Linked DNA regions of Elephas maximus indicus. The protein of the gene in region 2 interacts with the protein of the main gene of each other region in a biochemical or structural test. Links are inferred from orthologs where the notes say so. Each region holds a gene or a part of one and is shown on either strand. Other genes may lie near its edges. The genes, in order: CSTB, CTSB and CSTA.

Region 1 (10,320 bases), on a different chromosome or scaffold from region 2:
AATCATTTTGTTCAGGTTATTGGTGAGCACTGGTTATTGATTCGCTCTGAGTATTCACTGGAATACAATGAACAATTACAAACAGACACAAGGGAAACTGTTGATACCCTCCCACCCCCCAAGTGGCACAACATGGAGATGACGTTTATTTTCTGGCCCCAGGAACACGCTCACAGATGACAGAATCATTTCCACATACTCGTCATGTGGACAAAGGGCCCTACTCAAAACCAGGAATTAAAAATACGTCAGTTCGTCATGCTTGGCCTTGTTGGTCTGGTAGCTGGTCAAAGCCGGGGGCTTGTTTTCATGAGGCAGACTCTGAAATACTCGCAGGTGCACGAAGTTATCATTACCCACGTGAACCTGGGGAGAGAGAGGTGAGTGAGGGGCACAGGCACAGCCTCGGCCGAGTTCCCTCCTTTCCTCCACTGAGTGCAGGCAGGGAAGGTGAGGGGATGCAGCCCTGGACTGTGTGGAAGCCAGCCCGCCCAGTCCTCCACAACTGCCCGGTCCTCAGGACAACTACCACCAACCTCCTTCACACATGGCAGAAGCCTGTGACCATAGCCCACTGTGCTCAGCTTGCCATCAGAGCCTCAGTCCTTCTCTTCAGCATGCAAACATTCATTTTAGGGGCCTACGACCCCCCTGAAGCCTGGAGCAGCCACAGGACCCCCCCACTAAGCACCTCTCCCATCATGCTGCCACAGTCTCATAAGCTGCTTCCCCAATGAACACCCACTTCAAGTCAGGCACTCTTCTTCCCCCTGATAAAGATGCCCACCTTGATAAAATAGTTTGTCCCAGCAACCACCTGACTCTTGAACTCCACAGCCTTAAACACAGGGAACTTCTTGTTTTCCTTCTCTTCAAGCTGGGCCTTGACCTAGGGAAGGGGAACAGAATAGAAAAACCTGGTGGTTTCCCTTCTGCTAGAGGGACTCACACACACAGGTCTCATGTCTCCTGTTACGTTTCATAAACTGAACTCCAACGTCAAAGCCTTTAAGTATTTTGTACAACGCGATTGGTCTTTGTAACTTTTAGCTCTAGTGATAAAAAAACAGCACCAAAAAAAAAAGCATACCCTTCTTATTAATTCTACCAAAGTTTTAATGATAGTTTTACCTTTCTTTTCTAGGCGTGGGGCGTTTTCACATTTTTATCATTACAACAGCATAGCCAAGCTTCATCCTGGGTTTTTCGGGTGTTTTGTTTCTTAACATGCTGTGAACAATTCATCTGAAAGGCCATATGTAACTTATAAAGGCTAATCTTCCATTTCATAGCTGCGCCTTAATTATCTTAACCATTATCCCTACTGTGGGCACGTAGGCTCTTTCTCCTCTTTGCTGTTCTCAGTGATCCGGCAATGACTCTGCAGGAGAAAGGCACTTTACCTGCATGTTCAGACGACTCCAGGCCACAGTGCCATCCTAACCTAAGTATTCAACAGTAAGTGCACTTTGATCCAATTCTGTTTTCTAGGGTCTTTGTTTTTTAACAGATGATCAGCTTTACGGTAGAAGGAGAGAGAAAGTTTGGTTTTTAATCTCACTGAGTTTAAAGATGCCCTGGCTGCTGTCTAGATTAACTGCTGGCACTCAGAGTATACTGATTCACTCTGGAGTGATGTAGCTAAACTAGTCACTGGAGGCTTAGAGTGTTGAAAGAAAAAAGCCGTGAAAGTGCTTTAGTTGGGGGATAAACGGGTCACCTGGAAAGGACAATGTTAGTTGGGAAATAAGAGGAGTCACCCGGTATTTCATGCCACTGAGTCACCACTTGATCAAAGGTTGATGCTTCACTGTAGCAACCTCCTTTGTGTGCGGCACTGGGCTAGGCCTGCAGGGAACCCACAGACGAAGGCAGTGTCCTCGCCCAGGCAAAGGACACCTAGAACAAGTGCGTGCCACCAACACCCTGGCCGGGGAGGGAGGGGTCATAGAGAAGGAACCACCTCTTTCTTTGCCTGTGTGAAGGGCAGAGGCAGGAGCGGCCACCCTCTGCCAGAAATGGTGAGAAAAGTGAAAATGAACCCGAGGGGTGCCAGCTGAAGGGAGGGAACGTGGAGGCCCTGAGTGCCAGGCAGGCCACTGCTGACGGGGTGACAGCTCCAATTTAGTAAAGGACAGTGACAGAAGGCATGTAGGGTTCGTGAGGGACGCTGTTATGTTAACAGCCCTCAGGAGTGGGGTGGGGCAGGGCAGGGGCACAAGAACAGGCACAGGGAGGATACTCAAGGACAATGTGGCTGTCACAGAACCTGTGGTCTCTTAAGTCCTTCAGACCTTGGTCAGTCTGCACCTCTGACCTCGCCTTCCCCATCTGTAGGCGGGAGACAGCAACACACACACTGAGTGCTCCTGTCTGGATTCAACGAGGTCAGACAACAGACATGCTCAGTATACGCTCCTACCTCTCTCCTCCCCACCTTCTCTCAGAAAACGCCTGGAGGTGGGCCAGCTTCTGTGATACCTTTTCTGAATTTTCTCCCGACAGCAATGGCTACTGCCCACTTTCATGTGACAGACACCAAATTAAGGATCCCCTTTGAGATAACAGAAGCCCTGGTGGCACAGTGCTTAAGAGCTCGGCTGCTAACCAAAATGTCAACAGTTCAAATCCACCAGCCACTCCTTGGAAACCCTATGGGGCAGCTGTACTCTGTCCTATAGAGTCTCTATGAGTCAGAACCGACTCGACGACAATGGGTTTCAACAGGTTTTGAGATAGCAAGGAACCCTGATGGTGCGGTGGTCAAGCCCTTGGCTGTTAACCAAAAGGCTGGCGATTCGACCCACCAGCCGCTCTGTGGGAGAAAGATGTGCCAGTCTGCTTCTGTAAAGATTACAGCCTTGAAAACCCTATGGGGCAGTTCTACCCTGTCCCACAAGGTCACCATGAGTTGGCAGGAGTCCCTGGGTGCTGCAAATGGTTAACATGATTGGCTGCTAACCAAAAGGTTGGAAGTTCAAGTCCACCCAGAAGTGCCTCAGAAGAAAACTCAGCCACCGAAAACCCTGTGGAGCACAGTTTCTTCTCTGGTCGCCACAAGTTGGAGTTGACTCAATACCAACTGGTTTTTCGTTTGTTTTGAGACGACAACGCTTCTATCCTGGCTGCAACAAGAACTTAACACATACTCGAAGTTCATGCTGCCTGGTAAAAGATGCTGACAGGTGAGACATTTCTCAGGCCTGGAACAGTAGGAAAGTGGTCAGGAAGGCCTAGGCCTAGAGGGTTGGCTATGGGGAAGAGTGGAGAACACTCTGCTAGGCGCGGCTCACACAAGCCTGCATGCGTGCTCTGGACAAATTCCGCATTTTCAACCGTCGCATGGGTCTGACTCACCGCCCTTTATTGCCCGATGGTAAACCACCTGCGCAACTGTAACATGGGCTGGGCTGACCACATGCCAGAGGATTTATGAAGAAGTGGCTGCAGGGAGGAAAGCTAAAAGAGGAAGAAGTTTATTTTACCTTTCCCTGGGGAGTTCTGATGTGGGCTGAATGTTTCTTGTTTACTGACCAGTGTGTAAAGAATTGATTTTGTTAACATATCATGGCAAGTAGAGCAAACCTGATTTAAACGGAATACTAAGCACTTTATACTCTTAACTCATTTAACCCTCACCACAACATTTGGAGCCAGACACTGCTACTACACCCACTTTAGAGATCTGTAAACAAAGGCAGGGAGCAATCAAGGAGATGCTCAGGTTTTAGCCAAGCTCTGCACCTGCTGCAATCCAGCCTGTGCCTGGAGGGGCCTCCTGTCACTAGAATTGGCTCGTTTCCAAGCAAAGGGCAAGGTAGTTTCCCTTTTCTCCCCAAGTAATTCAGGGAAGATATATTTGAGCATCCCCCCCGTAGCACCCCCCTTTTCCCTTGCCTATTTCTCTTTTGCTCAGCTTTAGGAAGGACCGGCTCCGCCCAACGCGGCGGTGGCGGCCTCGATAGCAGTCCTAACTTCCCAGCAAACTCCGCGCTGTCCTCTGGCCCCCTTCCTGGGTCCTCCTTTGGGGAGGACTCCCGTGCACTTGTCTGGAATTAAATTCGGGGCAGGTGCACCCCGTCAGTCACCCTCTCAGCCCCCATCAGCAAAACCCTGGACCTCTCCGACCGGGGGTGGGGAGGGGTCGGCTCCCAGGCTGCCCGGGGGTCTCGGGCCTCACCTTGTCAGCGATCTCCTGGGTCTCGGCGGTGGCTGGCTGCGTGGCGGAAGGCGCTCCACACATCATCTTGGCGGCGGGACTGGAGACGACCGGAGCGGAGCAGACAGCCTGTGGACACAGCCGGCCAGACAGAAGGGACAAAGCGGTGCCACCTTCCGGGCGCTAAGTAGGCGGTGGCGGCGGTCACATGACGGGCAGGAAGCAGGTCACGTGAGGGGCGGGCGTTAAGGTCACCTGAGGAGTGGGCAGAACCAAAGCCCGCGGCGGGGGGCGAGGCCGACAGGTGGCCACCGCCCGTTAGGAACTGGGCCGCAGGGCAGGGGCGCCGTCTGCAGACGAAGGCCCCGGGTTCTGTAGGGGAGCGTCCCCCCCACTTGGGGTTTGGTGTCTCCCTACCCTGGCGGCGGCCCAGTCACAAGGGGTGGAGGGCTCCTTCCCCGAGACGGAAGATACCGGAGCTATCCAGCCTGGCTCGACCCTTGACCCTGACCAGCTTGCGTTTCGGGGACAGGGCTGGCTCTGGAATAACCGAGACAATCCGGGGAGACGGCCCTGACTGACTGCTGCCTTGGAGAGAGGGAGCCAGGAGGAACCGGGGACGGGGCTGCCTGAGGGCTTCTCCCACCGCGAGGGTCAGAAGGCACGCACCCGCCCTCGGCCCCGGCGGTCCCCCGCGTCCCCCGCGTCCCGCCCGTCTTGGGCCCTCCGTCTGCAAGGCCTGACCCAGTGGCCCCCCTCACCCTGTCCCCACCCCGTGTGCCAGCATGTTGTGTCGGCCGCGGTGGACATTGCAAACAGACCGGCTCCTTAAGGGCCCGCACAGGGGGACACACAGAGCAAAGACTGAAATGGATGGACCGGAGGCGCAAAGGGGGTCCAGCGAGGTTGGCTGTCCAGGGTGGAGGATGTGAGTCAGGTCAGGGCGCAGCAGAAAAGGGCTTGGTTCTGGCAGGATTTGTGTTAGGGATTTAGATTAGACTCAACCACCTGGAGAAGGGATGGGTCCTCCTTGTTTGGGACAGGTGTGGGCCTTGTGCTAGGAGCTGTTGTGACATGATGGCCTTTCAGAAAGTCCCAAACTCTCCCCTTCAAACCCCCTCCAGGGCTACGCCTTTATGCCTGGCACCTCACTGGGAACTGGGCAGATCCCATGAGGTTCTGCTTCTCAGGGGCCAGCCAGGGCCTCAGGGCAGAGCAGGAGTGGTCTAAGAACAGGTGGGTGTGGGAGGTGGGCGTTTCTCTACCTGCAGGACAGAGCCCTGACCTGGAACTTCAGGTGGGGTTAGAGTCCTGGGGCAGGGAGGACTGCTGAAGGAATGACAGATTTGACCCCACACAAATGGAAAACTGCTCTAAATGGAAAAAAATAATAAAGGCTTTGGAAGGAGGGAGAGGAAGGCCAATCTGTCACCTTTTTCCATCCTGCAGCTGCCAGGCTTGGATCCTTGTCTTGCAGAAGGTTTTGACCTAAAGAAGTCACCTTGCCTCTGAGTGGGTCTGCAGGTGCCCAGAGTTTACAAACAAGAGAGTAACCCTGTGGAAATAAGCAAAGACACCTCCCAAATGAGAACAAGCTGGCTATGTATTCAGAGCTACCGTGGCGAGGGAGTCAGCCACCATCGCTTGAGTTTGGCAAAGACTCAGGGGGAGACAGCGGAGTGGGAAAACTGGATAAAGCTGTGGAAAGAAGGAAGGCTCAGGTGTGCCCTGGTGGAGGGAGTTGGCATGGGAAAGCTGGAGGTGGGCAAACTAGAAGCATGTGTCTTGTGTGGTTCAGGGCCTACTTGGCTTTCTCTGGTTGATCCTGGTGGTGCAGTGGTTAAGAGCTCAGCTGCTAACCAAAAGGTCAGAAGTTCAAATCCACCATCCGCTCCTTGGAAGCCCTATGGAATGGTTCTCCTCTGTCCTGTAGGGTCACTATGAGTCAGAAGTGACTCGACAGCAATGGGTTTGGTTTGATTGATCCTGAGATGGAAGTGGGGACACCAAAAATAGGGAACTGGCACTCACTCACCAGTCCTGACTGTTTAGGGCTCCCAAGGTCATGGGTCAGAGTTCTCTAATCACCTATGGTCTGTCATCTGTTTGCATCTTCAGTCTTTCATACCTGCTTAATGGAATCAAAGCTGCCTTATTGCTGCAGGTCTTGATATTTTTAAGCAGGTGCCATGGAGGGTAGGAGCCCTGCCTCTTACCTGCTGCATGGCTTTGGAGTAATTGCTGAACCTCTCTGTGCTTCTCTCTGGGGACAACTTATCACCTACCTCAAAGAGTTTTTCAAGGACTAAATGAGTTAATAAGTATAAAATACCTGGGCAGTGTCCGAGCTCTGGGGTGAGCTGTTAGTACTGTTATTGTCTATAATCAGTATACTAAGCTAAGTCTTACTTACCTATTACTAGTATTACTTTTTCTATCCAGAGGCCCTGGAAAATACCGACATTTACCTCCAATTCCTTGATTCAACAGTTTTCCATCTTACTGAAACCAGGAGTAAAGACCAAATATCCTGTCTCCCTAGGCCTATCTCAAGGACTTTTGAATATCATTTACATATGAAATTCGTATTCAGAATTCTAAATGTAAACTATTTTTTCTTTATTTTTTATTGTGCTTTAAGTGGAAGTTTACAATTCACATCAGTTTCTCAAGCAAAAAGTTATACACACAAGGTTATGTGACCCAAGGTGCTCTCCCTACAATGTGACAGCACACTCCTCCACTCCACCGTGTATTTCCCATGTCCATTCAGCAAGCTCCCGCCCGCCTCTGCCTTCTCATCTCGCTTCCGGACAGGAGCTGCCCACTTAGTCTCATGTGTCTACTTGAGCTAAGAAGAAGCACACTCCTCACCAGTATCATTTTCTGTCTTATAGTCCAGTCTAATCTTTGTCTAAAAAGTTGGCTTTGGGAATGGTTTTAGTTTTGAGTTAACAGAGAGTCTGGGTTCATGTCCTCTGGGGTCCCTCCAGTCTCAGTCAGACCATAAATCTGGTCTTCTTAAATATAGACTATTTTTGAGATTTCATTTGTGAAATCTCTGGTTTTTCTAGGTTAAGTGGGTCCCATGGTTTCTTTTCGCCTTGTCTCATCATCCCTTCTGCCCAGGCAAGACAATTCGGTTTGGGTTTTTGTTGTTGTTTTTGCTCTGCTTGCCTTTAACACTCTTGACAAATGATGCATAGACTTGTTCCCTATTCCAAAATCAATTGATTGTGTTTTCATTATGCAAAAATTTCATCATCAGAATGTGTTGCTAGTTAAATTCTAGCCAGAGAAATTCATTGACTAAGAGGAAAAAGAAGGTGGGCATTTAAGACAAAGCATTTAAACAACTAAGCGTTTATCAACTTGCCAGGAACTAGGGTTAGGATTTCAACCTATGTTATGGGGGGACACAATTCAATCCATAACAGGGACGTTCTCCTACATTAAGGGTTAGCAAATTGTGGTCCACGGGCCACATCTGGCCCCTCGCCTGTTTTTGAAAATAAAGTTTTATTGGAACACAGCCACACCTATTCACGTACATATTGTCTATATGGTAGCTTCTTTTGCACTGCAACAACAGAGTTTGACCCACGATGTAGAAAATATTTGCTATCTGACCTGTGCAGAAAAGAGCTAGGACAGCAGGCCTGACTTCTGTCCTTAGGGCAATGTTCAAGGCTGGCCCTGAGCTGCATCAGGGAACTTGGATTTTGGAAGGGTTCCCACTATCCCCTGATAAGCGAAGCTCCCTGTGTGCCTCAGCTGTGTGTACAAACGGGGTGGTTTCTGCTGAACACCTGCTTTCCTTCTGCAAGTCTGGAATTTTGGTATGTGCCAGGCAGAGGGTGCCTACGTGACTTGCGCCCAATCGAAACCCTGGGCACTGAGTCTCTAATGAGCTTCTTTGGTTGGTACTATTTCACACTCGTTGTCACGACTTAAGTGAGTCCTGTGTGACTCCATGGGCGAGGACTCTGGAAGCTTGTGCCTGGTGTCCCGCAGGCTTCATGCCATGTGCCTTTGCTCTTTGCTGACTAAATTAATAATTGCTTTCATATCCAGATGCAGAGAGAGAGCCCAGCCAGAGCACTCACACATACACATTGGATGCAGGCTACACCCCAGGGAAGAGCATGACTTGAGTGAGAGTGGGACTTGAGTCACAGCCTCCTCCAAGGCTGTAACTCAAGATACACCCCACTCAACTCCTGCCTTATTAACATATGTTGTTGTTGTTAGGTGTTGCTGAGTTGGTTCTGACTCATAGTGACCCTATAGGACAGAGTAGAACTACCCTATAGGGTTTCCAAGGAGCAGCTGGTAGATTTGAACCTCCAACTTTTTGGTTAGCAGCTGTAGCTCTTAACCACTATGCCATCAGGGCGCCCATTAACATATAGAGGGTAGGACTTACAACACATAAAATGGAGGATAATTACATCAGATCACAAAATGGAGAACAGCCACTCAGTACTGGGAATCATAGCCTAGCCAAGCCAGCACACAACACCAACCACCACACCTCACTAGGGTTTTTCATATGCATTATTTACATGGCTCTACCCAAGCACTGTGTGGGAGTCACAAAGACTATGGCTAGAAGGGCCATATTTAGTAGTTCACTGCACCGCACTAACTTTGCTCTGTGTCCTTTCGCTGTAATGAATTATAGCCATGAGTACAGCTGTATGCTGGGTCCTGTGAGTCCTAGTGAATCACTGACACTGGGGTGATCCCAACACATTGCCCTTTACAGAAAAAGCTTGCTGCCTCACACTTCTACTTAAAGAATACTATTGCTACATCTAAGAAAATAAACATTCTGTAATATCATCTGTCTTACTCATCTACTGCTGCTATAACAGAAATACCACAAGTGGATGGCTTTAGCAGTTTATTCTCTCCCAGTTTAGGAAGCTAGAAGTCTGAGTTCAGGGTGCCAGCTCTTGGACTTTCTCTGCCAGTTCTTGGGGAAGGTCCTTGTCTTCAATCTTCTCCTAGTTTAGGAGATTCTCAGCACAGGGACCCCAGGCCCAAAGGACGTGCTCCCCTCCTGGTTTTTCATTCTTGGGAACATGAGGTAACTCTGTCTCTATGCTCGTTTCTCTCTTTTGTATCTCAAAAGAGATTGACTCAAGATACAACCTAATCTTGTAGATTAAGTCCTGCTTTATTAGCATAATTGCCTCTAATCCTGCTTCATTAATGTCGTAGAGGTAGGATTTACAACACCGAGGAAAATCACAGCAGATGACAAAATGGTGGACAATCACACAATACTGGGAATCATGGCCCAGCCAAATTGATACACATCTTTGGGGGCACATAATTCAGTCCATGACACCATGATTCCCACCCTGTCGGCAGAGGCCTGCCTGGCTCTCAGGGCCTCCACGTTCCCTCCCTTCAGCTGACACTCCTCTGGTTCATTTTCACTTTTCTCACCATTCCTGGCAGAGGGTGGCCGCTCCTGCCTCTGCCCCTCACACAGGCAAAGAAAGAGGTGGTTCCTTCTCTATGACCCCTCCCTCCCCGGCCAGGGTGTTGGTGGCACGCACTTGTTCTAGGTGTCCTTTGCCTGGGCGAGGACACTGCCTTTGTCTGTGGGTTCCCTGCAGGCCTAGCCCAGTGCCGCACACAAAGGAGGTTGCTACAGTGAAGCATCAACCTTTGATCAAGTGGTGACTCAGTGGCATGAAATACCGGGTGACTCCTCTTATTTCCCAACTAACATTGCCCTTTCCAGGTGACCCGTTTATCCCTCAACTAAAGCACTTTCACGGCTTTTTTCTTTCAACACTCTAAGCCTCCAGTGACTAGTTTAGCTACATCACTCCAGAGTGAATCAGTATACTCTGAGTGCCAGCAGTTAATCTAGACAGCAGCCAGGGCATCTTTAAACTCAGTGAGATTAAAAACCAAACTTTCTCTCTCCTTCTACCGTAAAGCTGATCATCTGTTAAAAAACAAAGACCCTAGAAAACAGAATTGGATCAAAGTGCACTTACTGTTGAATACTTAGGTTAGGATGGCACTGTGGCCTGGAGTCGTCTGAACATGCAGGTAAAGTGCCTTTCTCCTGCAGAGTCATTGCCGGATCACTGAGAACAGCAAAGAGGAGAAAGAGCCTACGTGCCCACAGTAGGGAT
Region 2 (10,824 bases):
TTAAAAGTCTAAAAATGTAATAGAATTTGGTTCCTATACCTCCTAAAAAAAAAAAAAAAAAAAACTCCACTCAAAGTAGGGTGGGTTACAGCCATGCAAGGACTTAACATTCACCTCCCATGCCCCCTTTCTTAGGGGGTCATGGAGTGTGCAAAACGAGGGCATAAACCAAGAGAAGATAAGCTATAAAAATTCTAATTTCATATAGTTCAACCTCATATATTTCTAATCCTGTTCTTGCGCCAAATTCTCAAAAACAGGCGACAGACATTGTGACTCCTCACCTCTAAATATATCAGTCCATTATATAACATTTCCCCAGGACAAGGGATATTCTACACAACCATGCAATTTGACCGTTCTATCTCTTTTATCTTCCCCATTCTTTGCCAGTCCTGCCCCTGTTCCCTCCACTCTTAAAGAGGTTGAATCCTTTCAAAGGTCCAGGCTAGTTTTCCTGCAGAATGTTCTACATCCCGGATTCATCTAACTTTTATTCTCACGACTAGAGTTGGGTCAAACATTTTGGCAAGACCACTCCATAGGTGATGTTAGGTAAATTCACCATACCTCGTCTAAAGGCATATAATGTCAGGACTTGATGCCAAGCTTGACCTCTTTGTTGTTTAAGATGGCAACTGCCAGATCTCTTCATTACTGTTTGCAACTCTTTCCTTTTTGTAATTTGTAAGTAATCTATGGGATAATACTTCAATTTGATACCATGTGACTATCCTCTTCACCAATACCCTTTCACCCATGGGTTTTAGTTAGAATCGCTGATGATCCAAGGATGACTGAGCACCCTTCATGATGTCATCATGTATCAGTTATCACAGTGGAGTTACATCATGGTCAATTTATAATTCTATTCATTTTTTTCTACATCAATTAGCTGGAGTTACTTTATAAAAAGCAGCCAAGGGTGTTAACCATTTGTACCACCCAGGGTCTCCACAAAGACAAAAGGGAGCCCCTACTTATTCGGCCAGGAAGTAACTTCCAACTTCCCCATAGAGTTTCCAAGGAGCGCCTAGCGGATTCCAACTTCCAACCCTTTGATTAGCAGCTGTAGCACTTAACCACTACGTCACTGGGGTTTCCAATCCTTTAGATGGGACCCTATTAGTCTTCAAGGATTTCCTTGCTCTGTGATGCAAGATGCTCCAGGTGTACTTCTATACTTTCCCTACCCCAGACCTGGAAACAGCCATTTCTTCAAGGAGCTCTGATTTTAGTGAGAAGTGGCATTCAGAAATCAAAATCAAGGTGATAGGTCTGTCTGTTGCTTCTGGAGCAACGCTGGTTCTAGAACCTTTTGGTGGACAAAGCTGGAGTGGGGGGATATATACTGATTTCCTAATTTTGTCATCCATTGCCTATCTCCCCTTCTTTCTCTTCCAGCTCTATGATTTGCAAACACCATCTACAATGAATGTATAGTTTCTAAACGCATAGCCAGCACCGCAAAACAGAAACCTTCCTAGTAAAAGTATTCAAAGAACAGATATTGTTCCTTCTCTGAGTCAGATTCACCAACCATGAGTCGGTGCCATACTTCCCTTCTGGGAAATGGAGTCAAGGCAGCCTCTGCCAATTAGTCGATGGTTCTGAATGCATGTAAAATTTTGGTCGAAAATCTCTTTGCTTCTTAAAAGTGAGGTGAGATTGTGGAGATACATATTCTACTTGCGAATAGAAAAGGTGTTTTCCCTTTTGACCACTACCCTAGGCCCAGAAAGGCTGAGCTGCAAGGGCTCTGCACCTCCCTGATTAACCAAGCCATTTTAGAGGAGGCTCTAGTGATGTCCTGAAGATTCTGTAACTTCAAAAGACAAAAACTAGTCCAGGCGTCGAGTTGATTTCAACTCATGGTGACCCATGCGTATGAGAGTAGAACTGTGTGCCACAGGGTATTCAAGGACTGATTTTTTCAGAGTAGATCACCAGGCCTGTCTTCCGAGGCACCTCTAAGTGGACTCGAACTTCTAAGCTTTTGGTTAGCAGCGAAGGGTGTTAACCATTTGCACCACCCAGGGTCTCTAGAAAGGCAAAGGTTGCCCCTACTTATTTGACCAGGAAGTAACTTCCAACTTTCTACAATACAGGATACCCATGCCATTTAAGGACCCAAGGCTCCCCTGAAACTTGGTCTCTGTTCCACTTAATCCAACTGCCAATAGTAATATAAAACATCCTTCACCCCTAAAATGTGTATAACTTCTTATTCTAACTCACAGGTACAGCGGCTGGGGAAGGAAAAAAAGAACTTGTCTACAAAGGGAAAAAGGAGCTTGGCCTCTGCCCAAGCTGCTGAACCAGCACCAGATAGGCAGTTTCCCTCCTGGAGCCAAAGGGCTTCTACTCCTTATCACCTGACCAGTTTGAAAACAGCGTTGTCCTAACAACATCAAGGGGAGTCAGGGCTGTGTCTGCCCTGTGTCACCTCCACCAAGCCTGTGATGCACCAAGATATGCGATCTGCATCTTTCCACCCAAGAGTGCCCCCAGCTCTAGATCAAGTGCCCAAAAAGGTTAGGGTGGAAATCACTTTTCTCCAGTACACCTCAAACTCTCTCTTTGGGAAAGCCCCTTTCTTCTCAAGGCTCAAGGGCCCTAGGTCAATCATCACCAGTACAAATAGGGAACAATTATCTATTAAAGGAAATGAAGTTGTGAAGAATAAGAAAGTGTCCTTTACTGAACCAGGCACCCTTCCAGGCCTCTCCACCTTCTTTCTGAATCTACTGATCCACCTAGATGCAGTCATATAGAATATAGAATGTGTTTCAGCTGCATTCTCCTTTGGTAGTGGGCACTTAGGGATCAAAAGGTGCTAGGTCTCTCTCTGAGCCCCACAACCTCCCCTTCCCAGTGGATATGCAGATCTCCATTGGGTCAGCTGGAGGGATGTGGGGCCTGGGCTATGGTCCTTTTCCCAGTGCCAGTCTACTGACCTTCCTAGTGCCTGGGGAAGGGGTTGAGCTTGGCCCACTAAGCAAAGTTCAATTCACATCCATCTGGTCTATTCATCCCATGTTCCCTGAAGAACCCCCAAATCACTCATCTCCCACTGGTCTCTAGCTACTCCCTCTCAGGCCTCCAGGGTCCTTAACTGAGGGACTCACTCTCCCACACTACCCTGGGCCTGGAGGCACTGTCTTCCTTCTACTGGAGTCCAGGAGTAGGGAGCAGCATTTTCCTCCTCCCTCCTACGTCCCCAGGGAGAGTGGGGTCTAAGGTTTCCACACCCCCTATACAGTCTCCAAGAAGCCCCGGTGCACAATGGTCAAGCACTCAGCTTTCTCCATGGGAGAAAGAGCTAGTAGCAATTTGCTCCCTTAAAAGATTACAGCCTATGAAACCCTATGGGGCAGTTCTACTCTGTCACATGGGGCCACTAACAGTCGGAATCCACGGAGGGAACACAACAACAGTCTCCTATCCTTCTGCTCTGCTTAGTCTCCCCTCTGCTGTCTATGGATTTAACTCACTTGTGTTCCATCCTACTCCACCCAGTTTTTAGGTTCCTGTTTTTAATAGACCCTGTCCTCTGGGGTCCCTGGAATTGTGTGGGATTGTGTGCAGAAAGCTGCACTGGCAAACCCTTTGAAATAAGGAGGAAAAATACAAAAATAGATTTAGGTCAATAATATTAACTCAGCTATTTGCTCTGAGGAAACTGAGGCCCAAAAGTAAGCTGTGCAAGGTCACGCGGCTGGCAAAGGGCTTGGGTAGGGAGCCAGATTCTGGCCAAGTCACCGGATACGGCCATACTCTTTCTCGAAGGATCCTCCCTTGGAGTTCCCCGCAAACTCCCGGGCTCGGCGTGTAGCGGCCTCTGGGACCGGGCTATGGATTTGGGCTGATCGTGGTGTCACTGGGCTGACTGGACTGGAGAGCTCACCGGAACACAACCCTGGGGGGCAAGCGGCCGGGGAGCCGAAGCTTCCCGGCCGGAGTGGGGGGACGGGTGTCTGGCTGCCTGCATATTTTGTTTTTGTTTTTCTCACTACGGCGACTTTTAGGGGTCCACTGGGTGCCACTTCTGCTCGCCCTGGCAACGACAGCCCCCAGGGTCCCCGCTTACCGCCAGCCGCGACCCCCTCCCCACCCTGCCAATTCCCAGGGACACAGCCAGGCGGCACCTGGGCCTGGCGTGGGCACTTGTGGCGGGGGCGCAGCCAGCCACCCAGGTCTCGGTGCGGCCCCGCCAGGCGCTCCCATCCCCCTCCCTAGGTCACTTCCGTCACGGCCGCAAGCACCCAGAACCCACCCTAGCTCGCGGAGATGCCGCGCCGCCAGCCCCGGCCCTTCCGCCTGCACCCACCGAATTTCGCCGCCGAAAGCCCAAGCCTACAGCCGCCGAGCGTACTCCGCCGGATCCCGGTGCCGCCGCGGTATCCTCCCGGAGACCGCCCGGCGCGCCTATTTCTCCCGGCCCAGCCCCGCCCCGCCCCGCTCGGCTGACTCTCCCACGTGACCGCTGCGGGGCCCGGACGCCCAGGCTTGGGCTCCGCACCCGCCGCGCACGAGGCCTCCCGGCCTTGGCGCCAGCGGCCCCGCATTGGCCTAAGTCCTGCGAGAGGCCGCGCCGCTGGGGTCGCCAGCCCAAGGAAGGGGGCATCCGGAACCCCAGGCCGGGCTCCAGAAGTGGCGGCTCCGACCGAAGCCTGCAGCCACCCAGCTTCTGCCGTAGGACAGGGGAAAATCTGCGGGATTGGGGCCTGGGGGAGGCATAAAGAAGGACTCCCTAGGTTTGGTAGCGGAAGGTGGTCCTAAGGAACTCGGGACTCCACCCCCAAAAGACTCCACCCAGCATAGTGAAATTCCCCAGGCCACTGCGGCCTAAACGCGGCTGTATTCAAGCCGGCTGAATCCCTGCATTGGAAGGACTCGCTGTCGCTTCTTCCGTTCAGAATCCACTGCCAGTGTTGGGGATATAAAGACAGCCGGCCTCCGGGAGCTCACAGAATAGCCTTTTAACGTTAGCCTTTAGCGTTGATATCTTGAGATATCTATAGGATACTCCAGCAATGTAATAATGAAAGGAATAGCTATTACCATCGAGTACCAACTCCAGGAGCTGCGTCAGAATTTCTATAGAGGAGGGGGCATTTAGGGGTCAAAATCTGGTTAGAAGAAGGGCGTCAGAAGACCTGTCTTGAAGTCATGCATGCACAGCAAGTACATTGCTTTTACTTAGTTTATTTGGGTGAGTGGCTTGGAGAGGCTGATAGAGTAGAAACAGTTTGCTTTATCATCTCTTTTTTTCTGTAAAAAGGTGATTTTTTTGAAGAAATGTCTGATTTATTTTCCCCTTATTTTACAAACTCTTGTAAATCTGGCTTCCACAGACATCCTTCTGACAGCTTCCAAATCCCAGGGAATTAGATTCCTTGGTCGAATGATTTTTAATTAGTGTTTTCTGTTGATATTCAGCGAGTTCTTTAATAGCTGACAGTGGAGTCAGATTTGGTATTGGCCAGTTCTTACTCCCAGGTATTATTACCCATAGGGTGACTCCTGATGTAGTGTCTGGGTGGAGCAAACGGTTAATGACTTGGCTACTAACCGAAAGATTGGAAGTTTGAGTCTACACAGAGGTGCCTTGGAAGAAAGGCTTGGCAATCTACTTCTGAAAAATCAGCCATTGAAAACCCTGTGGAGCCCAATTTTACTGTGACACACATGGGGACACCATCAGTTGAAATTAATTCAGCTAGTAATGAGTTTGGTTTTGGGTATTATGAATAGACTCTTGTCATCTTTTTAAGAAAATTTTAAACAACCGTATCATATAGGAAAGATTTCCCCATTATACAGATGAAGAAAAAGGCACTCAGATAAGTTCTAGATTGAGTGAATCTGAGGCCCCTGCCTCTTTTCTGCTTCATCAGGCAACAGGAGTTGCCACATAGAGCATGCCTCACTCATGAATGCCATGGGCCAGAGAGTCTGTGATGGAACTTTAGGATGTAACAAAGAGTGACTTGTTTTTTTGGTCAAGGTGTTTTGTCCTCAGGAGATTGTTGTTAAAATGCAAGTAAGTAACCTGGAAAAGTACCACAGGGTCCCATTGGCACACTTCCTGTGGAAGCTCTACACTGGGAACTCTCCCAGGCTTTCCCTATGCATTGTCTCTTCATTTGCATCCTTTTTTTATGTAATAACAGTGTAATAGTAAGTAGGAGCCCTGGTGGTACCGTGGTTAAGAGCTTGACTGCTAACCAAAAGGTCAGCAGTTTGAATCTACTAGCTGCTCCTTGGAAACCCTATGGGGCAGTTCTACTCTGTCCTATAGGGTATCAACTCGACAGCAATGGGTTAATAGTACGTATAGCCCTTTCCTGAGTTCCCTAGTCATTCTAGCAAACTATCAAACCTGAGGGAGTAGTGGAAGCCAGCAGATCAGAAGTGAGGGGGCCCAGGGACTACCAAGCTTGCAGGGTAGCATCTGAAGACTTGGCAGTCTAGAGGACTGTGCCCTTTAACTTATGAGGTCTGACCTAGCTCCAGGTGGTTAGGGTCAGAGGAAGAAGTATTGTATTGCCTTTGCAATTAGGAATAGATTGGAATTGGTTTGATTATATTCCTTATCTCGGTTTCAGAGAAGTGGGATTTGATTTCATAACAGTTGTTTCCTATTGTTGTTGAGTCAGTCCCGACTCATGACAACCCCATGTGTGCAGAGTAGAACTGCTCTATAGAGTTTTCAAGGCTATGACCTTTCGGAAGCAATTCTCCAGGCCTATCTTTTGAGGCCGCTTTGGCTGGGTGGGAACTGACTAGGGGACTCCTAGTCGTTCCTAAGGACAGAATGTTATCTTGGGTCAGACCATGGTTACAGGCTATTTTGAGGATATCATTTAAGCCCAAACCAAATCAAACCAGTTGTCTTCTAGTAGATTCTGACTCATGGTGATTTATAATTGGAGTTTTAGTTGCAGTCAGTACCATTCAGTCCCAGAGTTATCTTTCCTCAGAGGCCTAGGGCAGCATACAAACCTATTAAAGGTATTCTTAGGCCCCTAATTTCACTTTCAGGCTCTTTAGGAGACTGAACGCCTTGAACCGCAAGCAGGTAGAAGGAAGCAGGTCTTGGAAGACGATTTCTTTCCTTCCTCACGATTCCCGATCCCAAGTCATCCAAGCTCTCAGGGCCAGAAACACCATATTCTACCATGAGCCAAAATTTCCTGAGCTTCCAGTAGGGCTCTAATCAACGGAAAAAGGTTGACAACAATTCCTTGCACAGGGATCTCCCTTCTTAACAGCCTGTTACTTCACTAGTCCCAGTCAATGTGGGGGAAGAAAAGAAAAAAGAAATAAAAAATGGAGCCAGAAGAACCTGTATATGAATCCTCATTCTGCAGTTACTTCCTTTCTCCCAGCCTCTAAACGGGGAAGAATAGCTATGTCACAGGTTGTTGGGAGGACTAAAATTAGATTCCACGTAAAGCATCAACTACAGTGCCCCACAAATACAGAGTTAAGTGATGGTACATCCCCTCCCATTTTCTAATGCCCATATCCAGATATATAAAAGTTTTGGTCTTACTAAAAAGACCAACAACACCAAATGTCAAGGATATAGAGCAACAGGGCTTCTCGTATATTGTTGGTGAGAAAGTAAGATGGTATAGGCACTTTGTTGTCTTAAGAAACACTCTAGCAGTTTTTTAAAAACAAAACCCTAAATATATCTTTACCTAATGACCCAGCCATTTCAATTTTATGTATTTACCCAAGAGAAATGAAAACACATGCCCACAAAATGACTTGTACGGGAGTGTTCATAGCTGCTTTATTCATAATAGTCAAAAACTGGAAACAGTCCAGGTATCCACCTATAGGAGAATGGATAAACAAGCTGCAGGATATTCAACAATACCACCCAGGATATTCAATAAAAAAGGATCTATTTATGTTATATACAACAACATACATACCATACCAATTGCCATAGAGTAGATTCTGACTCATAACAACCCATAAGACAGAGTGGAACTGCCCCATAAAGTTTCCAAGGAGTGCCTGGTGGATTCAAACTACCGACCTTTTGGTTAGCAGCTGTGGCACTTACCCACTACACCACCGGGGTTTCCATATGTTACTGTAATTTTGTGGCTCAGAGCCGCCTGCCGCAGATGTCCAATTCCTGAGACAGGGCGAGGTGAGTAGCAAGAGCTTTAATGTGTATTAATCACAGGAAACAGAGGGGAATGATCTCCTCCAAAGCCTGTCTCCCCCAAATGGAGACTGGCTCAAAAATTTATAGGGCAAAATCATGAGTTTCAGGAACTTGTGGAATGTAATTCTCTCCTGGGGTGGTTCTGGTGATCGTGGTCCCAAGGTATCATCTCATCTGCCCAGGGGGTGACTGGTCTCCTGAGGTGATTTTGATGGTTATGGTCCCAAGGTATCATCTGCCCAGGGGGTGATGGGTCTCCTGGGGTGATTTCAGTGGTCATAAGACTTCCTTAGATCATATCATTTGTTTCTACAGTCTGAAAAGGACATTAGTCATTAGTAAAAACTTAACAAGGAAAAAGGAACTGAGCAGTCAAGAATAAGTTTAGAAGAGAGAAAAATGGCTTAGATCCTGTTCATGTCATGGCCGAGCAGCCTGTTCCACATGCAACAACATAGATGAGTTTTAAAAACATTATGCTGAATGACAGAAACCTTACACAAAAGAGTACATACTGTATGATTCCTTTTATATGAAGTTTTAGAACAGGCAAAAGTAATCTATGGTGGAGCAAAAGTCTTAACAGTAGTTGCCTCTGGGGATAGTGCAGGTGGGAATTGACTGGGAGGGGGCCTGAGAGAACTTTGGAGTGATGACCATCTTCTTGATAGAGTTTTGGGTTACACAGGTGTATGTATTTTTCAGCACACTCAGAATATTCACTTAAGATTTGTGCATTTTGGCATTGTACTGCATGTCTGCTTTATATCAAAAGAAAATACTGTTAAACAAATCCCGTACTCTAGTTAATGATATGGATTCTGAAAGAGGGAAGTTACAGGTATCTGCAATTTACTTTGAAATGCATTAAAAAGGATGGATTGATGGATGGAGGGAGGCTCAGATAGATGGATAATCTATGATAAAAAAGCAAATGCAGTAAAATGTTAATGGTAGTGAGGCAGACAGCCTCAGAGCCCACCCCTTCTAGGAGACACCTTCTCTGGCTTATTCTCCTATAAAGAGCAGAATAAGCTGCGCATCCTTCTTAAGTTGTCCTTGACGAGATATCCATAGCAGAGATCATAGATGGCCTCACCCCACCCCTGGGTGAAGATTTAACATGCTAATAAAGGGAAATCAACCTCTTCTTCCATCCTGAGGGATCGAACATTTGTCTAGAAAAAATGCATAGTCATCCCAAAGCCCTGAGTGCCTGCATGAAGGTCAGTCTCAATCCAGAATATTCGTGATGAATTCGCATGTCCTTGTCTGCTCTCTGTAAAAGCCCACCTCCTTAAGCTTCCTGTGACCAGTCTTGGAGCCAGCAGCCCTGATTGTTCCTTTCCTTTGACAACGAAATAAAGGTGCCTTTCTTCTCCTACCTCAGCTTCTTCTTTATTGTCTGTAACAAGTCATGCTGAGCAGAACCTGGGGTTTCCACCCGGGAACAGTAGAATCTAGGTGGTGGGTATATCAGTATTCATTGTAAAATACACTGTAAAATTCTTTCAGTCTGAAAATTTTCATTAGAACATGTTGGATCAAAAGTTCTGGTCTTATAAGCATACAAAACAAAAACAAAATTTAAAATGAAAACAACCCCTTAAAAACTATTTACACTAATAAATGGGCAAGGTGAGCAGATCCCACTTTTATTGCTAATTGCGTGGTAAGGGTCAGCATGAATCCAATTCCCGCGTGGAAGTGGATCCAGTCCTCACCTTCCCATGTCTCTTTCCTCCTTGCTAGCTGCCTGAATGAATGGCACACTCTCCCTCCAACCAGCTAGAACTGTATTGGAACTCACAAGTTAGAGGGACTCTGCCCTTCTTATTGACTACCTGTGCAGCTCTTCTCCAATCCTAGCCACACTGAGCCAGGTCAGGACACATAAGTTTGAAGGACTCTGTCCAAATCGACTGCTCGCACAGCTTTTCTCTGACCTAGCTATCCTGAGCTAAGTTAGAGCACACAAGTTAGAAGGACTCAGTCATTCCTATTGCCAAATAGGTAAATGCCTATTTGGCTTTCATTGCCTTCTGTGGGTTTGTTAATTCCTTGGAACGGCTCACAAAATTTACAAAAGAATATCTATACTTGGAGCTGCCATTTATTATAACCAGAAAGGATACAAATGAAGAGTTGCATAGGGCTCGATCTGGGAGGGGTCCTCATTCAATACTTCCATTGTCCTCAGGGACCTGCTATCTTCCCAAAAGCACATGTTCCTGGCAGTTCAAGATGCCCCTGAACCCCTGTGTTCAAAGCCTTTTAATGACTTCATTGCATAGTCAAGATTGGGGCCTCAATGCATAGTCATGAGCTAGCAAATCAATGAATATGCGTGATTGATTGCATCATTCCCCCTTCCCTTCTTGAGATTGGCTGACCAGAAGTGGTCTTTGGGACTCCCACTTACTTACACACATGTAAGTGTTGCTTTTCTGTTTTAGAAAAAAAGTGACCTCAATTGCTCAATAAATTCCATGAGCTATCTTTCAAGAAAGGAGCCCTGGTGGTGCAATGTTTAAGAGCCTGGCTGCTAACCAGGCTGGCAGTTTGAATCTACCCAGCGGCTTCATGGGAGAAAGACCTGGCTATCCGCTTCCATAAAGATTACAGCCAAG
Region 3 (10,506 bases), on a different chromosome or scaffold from region 2:
GGACTTAGAGCCATGAAATGCCAAGCTGCAGGGTGGGCCAGTGATGGGTGCAGAAGAGGTGTCTATGTGATGTTCTGGCAGAAAAAAATCATGGTCTGTGTGTGCTGTCAGGAATGCTACTCGGCAGCCACATTTTATGACACAGGGGTGTGTGTGTACACACTGTGTATGTGTGCTTATAGCCCTTATTTTTTAAAAAATGATTGAAATGATATTTCCTTTCTGCAAATACACATACACAGAATTCTCATCTAATGATTATTTACATACAATGTCAGAGCTTTCGCCGTTACCCCCAAAACCAAACCCACTGCCGTTGAGTCGATTCCGATTCATAGCGACCCTATGGGACAGAGTAGAACTGCCCCAGAGGGTTTCCAAGGGCCGTAAATCTTTAGGGAAGCAGACCACATTCTTCTCCCATGAAGCATATAGTTGGTTTTTTGAAGGAGCATAGTACTTATGGGAGAGATTCCTTATTTTGTAAGCCAATCTCTTTAGATACAAGGTGACCTCAAGGGTTATTTTGGGTTCCAGGTTTAAAGAATATCTCAGGGCGATAGTCTAGGGGAGCCCTCTAGTCTCAACCAGTCGAGGAAGTCTTTTTTTTTTTTTCCTTATTTTTCAAGGAATTTGAGGTTGTCAAGGATTTCATTTTACTTGGATCCACAACCAACATCCATGGAAGCATCAGTTAAGAGATCAAAAGACGCATTGCATTGGGTAAATCTGCTGCAAAGGACCTCTTTAAAGTGTTGAAAAGCAAAGATGTCACCTTGAAGACTAAGGTGCGCCTGACCCAAACCATGGTGTTCTCAATTGCCTCATATGCATGTGAAAGCTGGACAATGAATAAGGAAGACCGAAGAAGAATTGATGCCTTTGAATTGTGGTATTGGCAAAGAATATTGAATGCCATGCCTGCCAAAAGAAAGAACAAATCTGTCTTGGAAGAAGTACAATCAGAACACTCCTTAGAAGCAAGGATGACGAGACTACGTCTTACATACTTTGGACATGTTATCAGGAGGGATCAGTCCCTGGAGAAGGACATCGTGCTTGGTAAAGTACAGGGTCAGCGAAAAAGAAGACGACTCTCAACGAGGTGGATTGACACAGTGGCTGCAACAATAGTCTGAAGCATAGCAACAATTGTGAGGATGGCACAGGACCAGGCAGTGTTTTGTTCCATTGTGCATAGGGTTGCTGTGAGTCAGAAGTGACTCGATGGCACCTAACAACAACAACAACAACAAGGGAATACAATAAGTTGGAATTGACTCGATGGCAGCGGGTTTGGTTTTTTGGTTTTTATGGTTTTAAATGTAAGACTGGCTACTTGGACAGAGCAGGCAAGTTTATCGCACACTTTCCCACCAGTATCTTTCCCTCCTGGCATTGTATGATAGAGCAAGAGAGTGAAAACCTGGAGACAGGTTAGCATCTTAACTAGGTGACTATTAACCTTTTCAATTTAAGGATCATCATCTGAAAAATGGATGTAATGCCTTCCTTAGCTGTCCCAGGGGTTATGAAAATCAAATGACAGAGTGAATGGAGCTGTACTCCGCAAGGTTTTCAATAGCTGGTGTTTTGGAAGTAGATCCTCAGGCCTTTCTTTCGAGGCATCTCTGGGAAAAAGAAGAGATCTCTGGGGGCTATTGTTAATACCTATCTCTCACTCTACCTCTCTGACGGAGCTGGAGCCTGAGGTAAACAGTAAGAAACAGACTTTCAAATTAATTTTATAATTCAAGTTGTGGCTCACAGATGGGTGTTACTAACAATTCAAGATATTCTGGAGGTTTCTTGTTTAAAATAAAATTATTTTTGCTAACCAGATGATAGGCTTTTTTTAAAAAAATCATTAAAACTTTCTGTGTCCTCTGTATTCCAAACCCTTATTGTTCCCCAGGAAACCCTGCTGGCATAGTGGTTAAGTGCTACGGCTGCTAGCCAAAGGGTCGGCAGTTCAAATCCACCAGGTGCTCCTTGGAAACTCTATGGGGCAGCTCTACTCTGTCCTATAGGGTCGCTATGAGTCGGAATCGACTCGAGAGCACTGGGTTTGGTTTTGGTTTATTGTTCCCCAAGGAGCCTTGGTGGCACAGTGGTCAAGTGCTTGGCTGCTAACCAAAAGGTCAGTGGTTTGAACCCACTAGCCACTCTGAGGGAGAAAGATGTGGCAGTCTGCTTCCGTAAAGATTGATTACCCGTTGCCATCAAGTCTATTCTGACTCATAATGACCCCATAGGATAGAGTAGAACTGCCCCATAGGGTTTACTAAGGAGTGGCTGGTGGATTCAAACTGCCGACCTTTTAGTTAACAGTTGAGTTCTTAACCACTGCACTATCAGGGCTCCTTTCATAAAAGATTACAGTCTTGGAAACCCTGTGGGGGGCAGTTCTGCTTTGTCCTGTAAGGTCACTATGAGTTACTGACTCCTGGCAAGGCTTTTGTTTTTTAATTGTTCCCCACCTCTCTATAGCTCTGGTCTCTGGAGAGTCTCAGGGGAATTTTCCAGGGTCAGGGATGATTCCAGGTAAGAATTTGAAGTAAACGTTGTAATGTCCCATCTATGCATATTTCTTTTCCATTTTCCAGTATTTTTTGTGCACGTTACCTCATTGAATCTGTACATTTCTGAGACTGGCAGGGCAAGAGGGGTTGTCTTTTACAAATGAAGTTGAGAACTTTTCTTGCCCCACCCCAGACCTACTGTGTCAGAATCTGCATTTTAACGAGACTACCAGGGAATCATAGCACATTCAAGTTTGAGAACAGTGACCTCTTACAGGAAATCAAATGACAGTATTTATGACTTAATATGTTTGTTTTTTTACAGTTGCCAACGAGTGACTCAGACTCATGGTGACTGCATGTATATCAGAGTAGAACTATGCTCCATAGGGGTTTCGATGGTAGACTTTTTTCAGCAGTTAGATTGCCAGGCCTTTTTTCCGAGTCACCTCTGGGTGCACGCCAGCCTCCAACCTCTCGGTTAGCAGCCAAGCACTTTAACTGTTTGTATCACCCATGGATTCCTGATATGTATTATTGATTTAAGGAGCCCTGGTGGTGCAGTGGTTAAACTGCTTAGCTGCTAACCAAAACGTTGGCGGTTCAAACCCACCAGCTGCTCCGCAGGAGAGGGATGTGGCAGCCTGCTTCCATAATGATTACAGCCTAGGAAACCCGATAGGCGCAGTTCTATCCTGTCCAATGGGGTCACTATGAGTTGGAATTGACTCAGCAATGCGTTTGGTCTTTTTTTTTTATTGACTTACTACTAACTTCTCCAAGAAAAACAAGCTTCAAGGTTTTTGTTTTTTTTTTCTTTAAAGAACCCTGGAAAGGGAAATATTTAACCCCAAAGAATGAATGATATCTGGGCCCCTTAGAGAGCTTTCCAGTGTCTTTCAATGCAGAGGATCACAACCTGAGTGGACTCACACAAGAAGATGATCTTGTTGCCAAGCAATGTCATGGAACGACGTTTTAGAGGAAAAAATCCAGAAGGAATGATACAAGAAAGTAAGGTAACAAATTACTAAGCAAAAACAGTGATTTATATGTAGTTTCCTGTCACAGGTGGTACAGTACAATGACATTTTATTACATCATGATTAGTTGATAACTAATCAAACGACACCTAGAAAAAAGTATCAACTCGTTAAAAACATTGAGCTCTGTTTTCACCATAATCAAATTGTAACATGTGAAATCATCCTGGACTATGCCCCTTTCTACTAGTTTTGTCATCCTCTAACGAAAAGATGAAAACACTATTTAGGCGAATTGGTAGAAGGTTTGTAAGAGGGTCACCTTTACAATATTGTTCTTCAAACCGTTTAAAAAATCTCCCTCTAGTGCGTTTTGAAGGCTAATTGTTAACAGCCTTTAATTACATGGTGGCACCACTCGGTGAGATTAGAAAAGTTTCATCAGAAACTGAGTAATTCCAAAATCAGACATCGGAAGAGCTGGGAGAGCTTTGGAGATGGTCCGAAACAAATTCCTCCTTTATAAATGGGGAAACTAAGGCTCAGAGAAGGGATGTGCCTTGCTCACAGGCACTCTGACAGTGTTGGGGTTCTTAGAGGTCTCATCTGAGAAGCTCAGGATTACATTTTTAGCTGTAAGGAAGCCTGGACAAAGCCACATATTCCCCAAGATTCTAGATTTTTGTGTCCAAAGCAAGAATCAGGATTTTGGATCAAACATTTTCATGGGGTGCATCAACTCACCTCATTAGCAATCTGCTGGATTTCTGGAGTGGCAGGTTTAGCTTCTGTTAAGCCTCCAGGCATCATTTTGGCTAATTGCTTCTTTGCACAACAGAATGCTGGGAGTCAATGATCAGGCTAGTGCCGAGACATGAGTTTTTAAACAGGTGTTCACAAGCTCCGCCTATGGGATGTTTTATTTCCACAAAGAGCAAAACAGCACACAGAAAACGAGTATGCCTTGAGACAAGTCTTCTTGCCTCCTCGACAAAGTGTCGTAATATAGGTTTGGGAAAAGGGGCTGGGGGATGACCAAATGGGTGTGCACGAAGAGTCATGCTGTATCAAGAATGAGACTTCCCTACATTCTCTTGGACAATGGTTTTGTCCTGGGAAGCTGGGTATGAAACCTGAAGCTAGGACCAGAGTTTCCAAGTGTTCTAAAACCTTTAACACAAAATTTTATTTTTTTAACCAATACCTGTTAGTAGTATCAAAGGTGATTGTTAGGATTTGCTTGACTTTCTAAAGAAAAGAAAAGAATCTATTTGGAGACCCTTGGCTAGATATTTGTACTTTACTTTTATTTAAATCTCTAAGAAATGTTGAAAGTACATACAGAAAAACACAAAACACAAAATAACAAACACCTACATTCCTACCTTCCAGAATTAAAATTTTTAACGTTCGATCACGATTGATTTCTATCTTTTTCTGTAGTCGTTTTAAAGAAATAAATATTACAGGTATATACACCTGAAGTCTTCCCTGCCCTCCATGAAAATGACTACTATTGTGAGTTTGGTATCTCTCTAATTGATTTTTATCGTTTTAATGAACTTTTTTTCTAACAGAAAAATTTTTATTGTTATAAAAATGTACGTAGCACATTTCCCAATTCAACATAAATATTTTTAAAATTTTACTTAATGGTATACTCTACACATATTCTGTATTATGCTTTTTTTTTCATTCAACATGTTTTTGAGTCTTTCCGTGTAGATACTTAGATCCAAACAACCAAAACCCATTGCTACCTAGTCGATTCCAACTCAGGGCAACTCTATAGGCCCCATATGGTTGCCAAGGCTATAAATTTTGGAAACGGAAGCAGGCTGCCACATCTTTCTTCCAAGAAGCAGCTGGTAGGTTTGAACCATCAATCTTTTGGTTAGCAGACAAGCACTTAACCACTGCATCACCAGTGCTCCTTGATACATAGCTAGATGACTCTAACTGATTTCCATTAACTGCTATATGCTATTCTATCATGACTACTCCACTTTTTACATGCTTAGTCTCTTACTGATGAAGATTTTGGTCATTTCTAGTTTTTCATCCTTATAAACAATATTTTTCCCCCTTTTTGTACATGTGTGAGGGCTTCTGCAGGCAGAAGCAAAATTGTTATGTTGTGTAAATATTTATTTATATTACTTGATTCAGTTTTTGGAATATGTAGCACGAACACATGATAAAAATGAACAAAAGCGGTTACAATATAAGGTTTCTTCACCCACCCTATCCCTCAGCCCCCCTTCTATTCTCTCCAGGGACAATCACTGTTGCCAGCTTCTTGTGTATCTTTCAGAGCTATTCTTTACACATTCAAATATATGACTAAATAACTACACACACACACACACACTTGGTTAGGCCATGGTTCCTAGTATTCTGTGATTGTCCTCCATTTTGTGATTGTAATTTTATGTTCAAAGGATTAGGGTGGGACTGTAACACAACCTTTACCCAGGTCACCTCCCTGATTCAAGGCAAAGGGAGTTTCCCTGGGGCGTGCCCTGCACCACCTTTTATATCTCAAGAGATAAAAGGAAAGGGAAGCAAGCAGAGAGTCGGAGACCTCATACTCCCAAGAAAGCAGCAATGGGAGCAGAGCGCGCCCTTTGGACCTGGGCTCCTTGACCAGGAAAAGACCGATGACAAGGAATCTTCCTCCAGAGCCGACAGAGAGAGAAAGCCCTCCCCTGGAGCTGACACCCTGAATTTGGACTTTTAGTTTACTGTGAGGAAATAAATTTCTCTTTGTTAAAGCCATCCACTTGTGGTATTTCTGTTATGGCAGCACTAGATGACTAAGACAATCTGCTAATCAAAAGGTGGGCATTTCAAATCCACCAGGCGCTCCTTGGAAACTCTATGGGGCAGTTCTACTCTGTCCTATAGGGTTGCTGTAAGTCGGAATCCACTTGATGGCATTTTTACAGGTTAGCAGCCTAGCTCTTAACCACTGTGCCATCAGGGCTCTAGGACTGTGCAAGACACAGTGAAAAAAAGTCTGAATGTACCGTACTCTCTCACTGAATTTGCTACCTACCCTACAGCTATCCCTCTCCATTCCTCCTCATGGTTAGAGTCTGCCTCCCTCAACAGAAGCTGAAAATACCAGATACTCACTTTCCCAGCATTCCTTGCAGTTTGGGAAGACCACATGACCTAGTTCTGGCCAATGAGATCTAAGGGAAAAACCTGTTGGGGGCTCCTGGGGAAGGCTTTCTTTCCCATATGAGACATGTGCAAGGACAAAGCTCCTGCTTCTTCCTCTCTGCTTTTGGAATTGTCCCGTGAGGATGGAATGATTGGAGCTGCTGCAGGTATCTTGTGACCATGAGGGAGATTTGCTAAGCCCCTGATGGCAGATCGTAAAGATGGAAAGAGGATATTGAGGACATTATTGAGTTGCTAAATTGGAGTCACTTATTCCAGCCTTCTTGTTAAGTCATATAAATGCTCGTATTGTTTAAGCCACTGTTGGGTATTCTGTTACTTGTATTTGAAGTATTCCGATACACTCAAAAATATTTTTAATACACCATTTAATAAATATAAGTATATGGATATAAATAAAATCTAGAGACTGAAAGAATAGGGGAAATTGAGGATGCACATCTGCCCTTAAGAAGTTTATAATCTGAAGGAGAACACTTTCTGTGTCTCTTGGTCCTACTTTTACACTGTGTCCTCTAACATTTTTTCAGTAAAGTCTTCACTACCACTTGTCAACGTACTGCTTGAAAAGCAGTTGTAAGGGCCCTGTGTGGGCTCAGGGGAGGACATAGTCACTCCTGGCTCTGCTCCTGAAGGGGGAAAGCAGGAGGGAAGGCTGACTGAGGATGGGTCATGGAAAGCCAGGTAAGATTTTTTATACTTAATTTGTTGGATAGTAGAGGTCACCGAAAATTATGAGCTGTTACAGAGGCTGCCTGTGCTTTAGGAAGATAAAACTGGAAGCATCGTGTAGACTGGATTGGAGGAAAAGATCCTGGGGAAAGAAAGATCAACTAGGAGGTTACCGCCATAGAACAATTAAAAGTTAATGAGAGCATAATTCAATGTTGCGGCAAATCGGCTGAGAGGAATGGGACAGGTATGGACAACTTGTAAAGATAGTATTAGGTGAGTGGGGCGAGAAAAGGGAGTCAGGTGACTGAATGAGGCATTTTGTTTGGATGACCAGGAAGATGATTGTGCTATTAGTAGACTCTGGGAATACGGGAGGAAGAGCAGGTTTAAACAAGAAGGTCGATGTTGAAAATATAAAGACATAATTGGGAAAAGAAGACCGCCTCTCCCCTTCTAGGCAAAAGCTGGGGAGGATGAAGACCTTGCAAAAGAATTTAGTCAAGTTCTTACTAATATAATGTGGAAATCAGAAATAAAGGGCCTTGACATTTTCAGAGTGGCATTAGTCATGGAAATTTAATTTTCAATCATACCTTATAAAAAGTCTTCACCCTTCAGCCAAAGATAAGACGGGCCCATAAAACAAACAATAACATACTAGCTCAACCATGTATACGAGACTAAAGGGACACACCAGCCCCAGGGCAAGGATGAGAAGGCAGGAGGGGACAGGAGAGTTGAACGAATGGAAATGGGGAACACAAGGTTGAGAAGGGGAGAGTGGTGACACGTTGCAGGGTCGGCAACCAGTGTCACAAAACAATATGTGTATTGTTTAATGAGAAACTAATTTGCTATGTAAGCCTTCATCTAAAGCTTAATTAAAAAAAAAAAAAAAGTCTTAGGAAATAAAAAAATGCTAGACTGGCTATTATCATCCCAGTAATGAAGAAGCAGGAGAGGGGGTTGGAGAATATTGACATATCAGTGGCCTTTGGAGCACAAAGAACAAAAAGCAATGCTGGGTAGATGAAGGTCTTGTTTAATCTGAATCCATTGTGTTTTAGTATGTTGTCACCAATAATTTCAATTTCTGTCTTGTTTCGTTAGTAAAAAGTATAAGAATTTCACATAAATGGTTTTCAAATATGGCCCAGGACAGAACCTTTTGGCATGACCTAACTCATCATCTCTTTCTGGGAAGAAATTAGCCTTCTCGATAAAATACTTCAGTAATTTTCTGATACACTTTAATGGGATTAAGACTTACTCTGGAAAACTAGCTGTTTTCTGACAAATAACTAGTTGTTTTCTCATAAAAAGCCTAAGTAATATGAATTTTCTAATTTTCCTACACTGGTTTTATGGATTCAATAAATTATTATTGCTTCCTTAAAAGGTTTAAAATGATAAAAATGGAAAACTACATACTCAAATAAATTGAATAATTCCTATCTTAATATGATTCGTTCTTGCAAATTTCTTTGCCACAAATTATAAGGATTTAGTTGTTCCGTTTTTATCTGGATCCGGAGACTGTAAGTGGAACAACTAAATCTTTGTGATTTGTGGCAAAGAAACTTTTGTACCTTCCACAAACTTTCAGTATCAACTTTTGTTTCTCTGTAGTTTGTCATACAAGAAGGAGAATCAATAAATGGTGCCAGAGCCAAGGCACCGTTCTTCCAGAGCCTGAGGGGGGTAAAGAGGTGGATCAGAACAATGAAATATTACAAATAAAATTCTGTGTGGAGGACCACGGTGAGGGATAGGCAGGAAGCAGCTGGAGTGATTTAGGTTTGAGTAAAGATCTGGGCTTTGGCTATGAGTCGTTTTCTGTATTCAGTCATAACTGTAGTGTAGACATCACCCTGTATTACAAGTGACTCCTCCTTCCAGAGTCTTCTGCTTCCCAGTAAAGGTTACAGTCATTCGCCCAGCTGCTCAATCCAGAAAACATGAATCATGCTTTATTTCCTTGTCTCCAAATCCAGTCCATCAGAAAATTCTCTTTTCTTGCTAAAAAATTGCTATGTATCTTGTTTCTATCTCTTCATGCCACTGTTCCTACCCAAACCACCTGATTCTTTCGCCTGGAAAACTGCAAAAAACCGGGACTGGTCTCTATTCTTTCCTTTTGTCCGACTATAATCTCTTTGCCACACAAGACTCAGAGTGATCTTTTGTAAACACAAGTCAGATGGTGTCACTCCCCTGGACGAACGGCTTCAGTATCTTCCCACTGAACTTAAAAAAAAAATAAAATAAAAAGCCCAAGCCCCTTACCATGGACTAGGCCTTGCATAACTCAGTCTTTGCCTGTCTCTCCAACCTCATCTCACGAGAATCATCTGATGAGACCAGGTGCACCAGCCTCATTTAGCTCTGGGGACAGGCTAAGCTTGTCTCTACCTCCGCCTCTGGGCACTTGGTGTTCTGCAGCCAGGGATGGGCCTTTCCCAGGTTCTTCACTGAGTCTTCTCACCCTTCTTCTCTCAGCAGAAATGTCTAATTTTAGGAGAGGCCTCTCGCCACCTCCAACTCGTCTCTATGATGTCACCTTCTTTGTTTCATTAATAGTCCTTTTCATAACGTGTACTTATTTTATTTTTGTACTTTTGTTGCCTACAATAACTGCTATCGCCCCAGAATCCAGAACTTAGAACACTTGGCAGATAGTATGCGCTCAATAAATGCGCACTGAGTGAATAAATGGTTGCCTATTCTCTTTCTCCTCCATTAGATTGCAAATACTGGGTGAGGGCAGGAGCCTGCCCTGGCTGTCTTTTCCCCTGTCATCATCCTGGTGCCTAGCAAGATGCCCAGCACTTAGTAATTGCTCAAAAACTATTTGTTGAATGAATGTATGAACTCACCTGGAACAGATTCTAGGTCTGTTCAACGGAACCCTTATCTACTACGGCAAGTGGAAGCTGGAGGTCTCTCAGAGGCCACCTTGGAGAGGACGGTGATGCGGCAGAAGAGCAGAGAAATGGGCCGTGGCTTCCCATCCCTGCTTCCACTGGAGCAACTCTTGTTTTATAAACTGGGGTTCTGTATAGAAATTAATTAAAAAGAAAGGTCTGCAGTCCCTCCCTTCCCCCTTTTTCTTTGGTTAATGAAACTACTGATTTAAA

What was found.
Region 1: the proteins of CTSB (region 2) and CSTB form a complex in vitro, tested with the Homo sapiens proteins (2 studies listed by BioGRID). The link is inferred for Elephas maximus indicus from reciprocal best matches to the Homo sapiens genes CTSB and CSTB.
Region 3: the proteins of CTSB (region 2) and CSTA form a complex in vitro, tested with the Homo sapiens proteins (3 studies listed by BioGRID and IntAct, with this or other methods). The link is inferred for Elephas maximus indicus from reciprocal best matches to the Homo sapiens genes CTSB and CSTA.

What each region holds. Positions count from the first base shown.
Region 1 is NC_064820.1:227,911,485-227,921,804, forward strand, and holds the start of CSTB (cystatin-B), read right to left. Parts: upstream 4,368-10,320; 5' UTR 4,247-4,367; coding exon 4,181-4,246; intron 890-4,180; coding exon 788-889; intron 367-787; coding exon 238-366; 3' UTR 1-237. UniProt on the Homo sapiens protein: This is an intracellular thiol proteinase inhibitor. Tightly binding reversible inhibitor of cathepsins L, H and B.
Region 2 is NC_064840.1:38,998,792-39,009,615, reverse strand, and holds the start of CTSB (cathepsin B), read right to left. Parts: upstream 4,419-10,824; 5' UTR 4,331-4,418; intron 1-4,330. UniProt on the Homo sapiens protein: Thiol protease which is believed to participate in intracellular degradation and turnover of proteins. Cleaves matrix extracellular phosphoglycoprotein MEPE. Involved in the solubilization of cross-linked TG/thyroglobulin in the thyroid follicle lumen.
Region 3 is NC_064819.1:12,914,666-12,925,171, reverse strand, and holds the start of CSTA (cystatin-A), read right to left. Parts: upstream 4,316-10,506; coding exon 4,250-4,315; intron 1-4,249. UniProt on the Homo sapiens protein: This is an intracellular thiol proteinase inhibitor. Has an important role in desmosome-mediated cell-cell adhesion in the lower levels of the epidermis.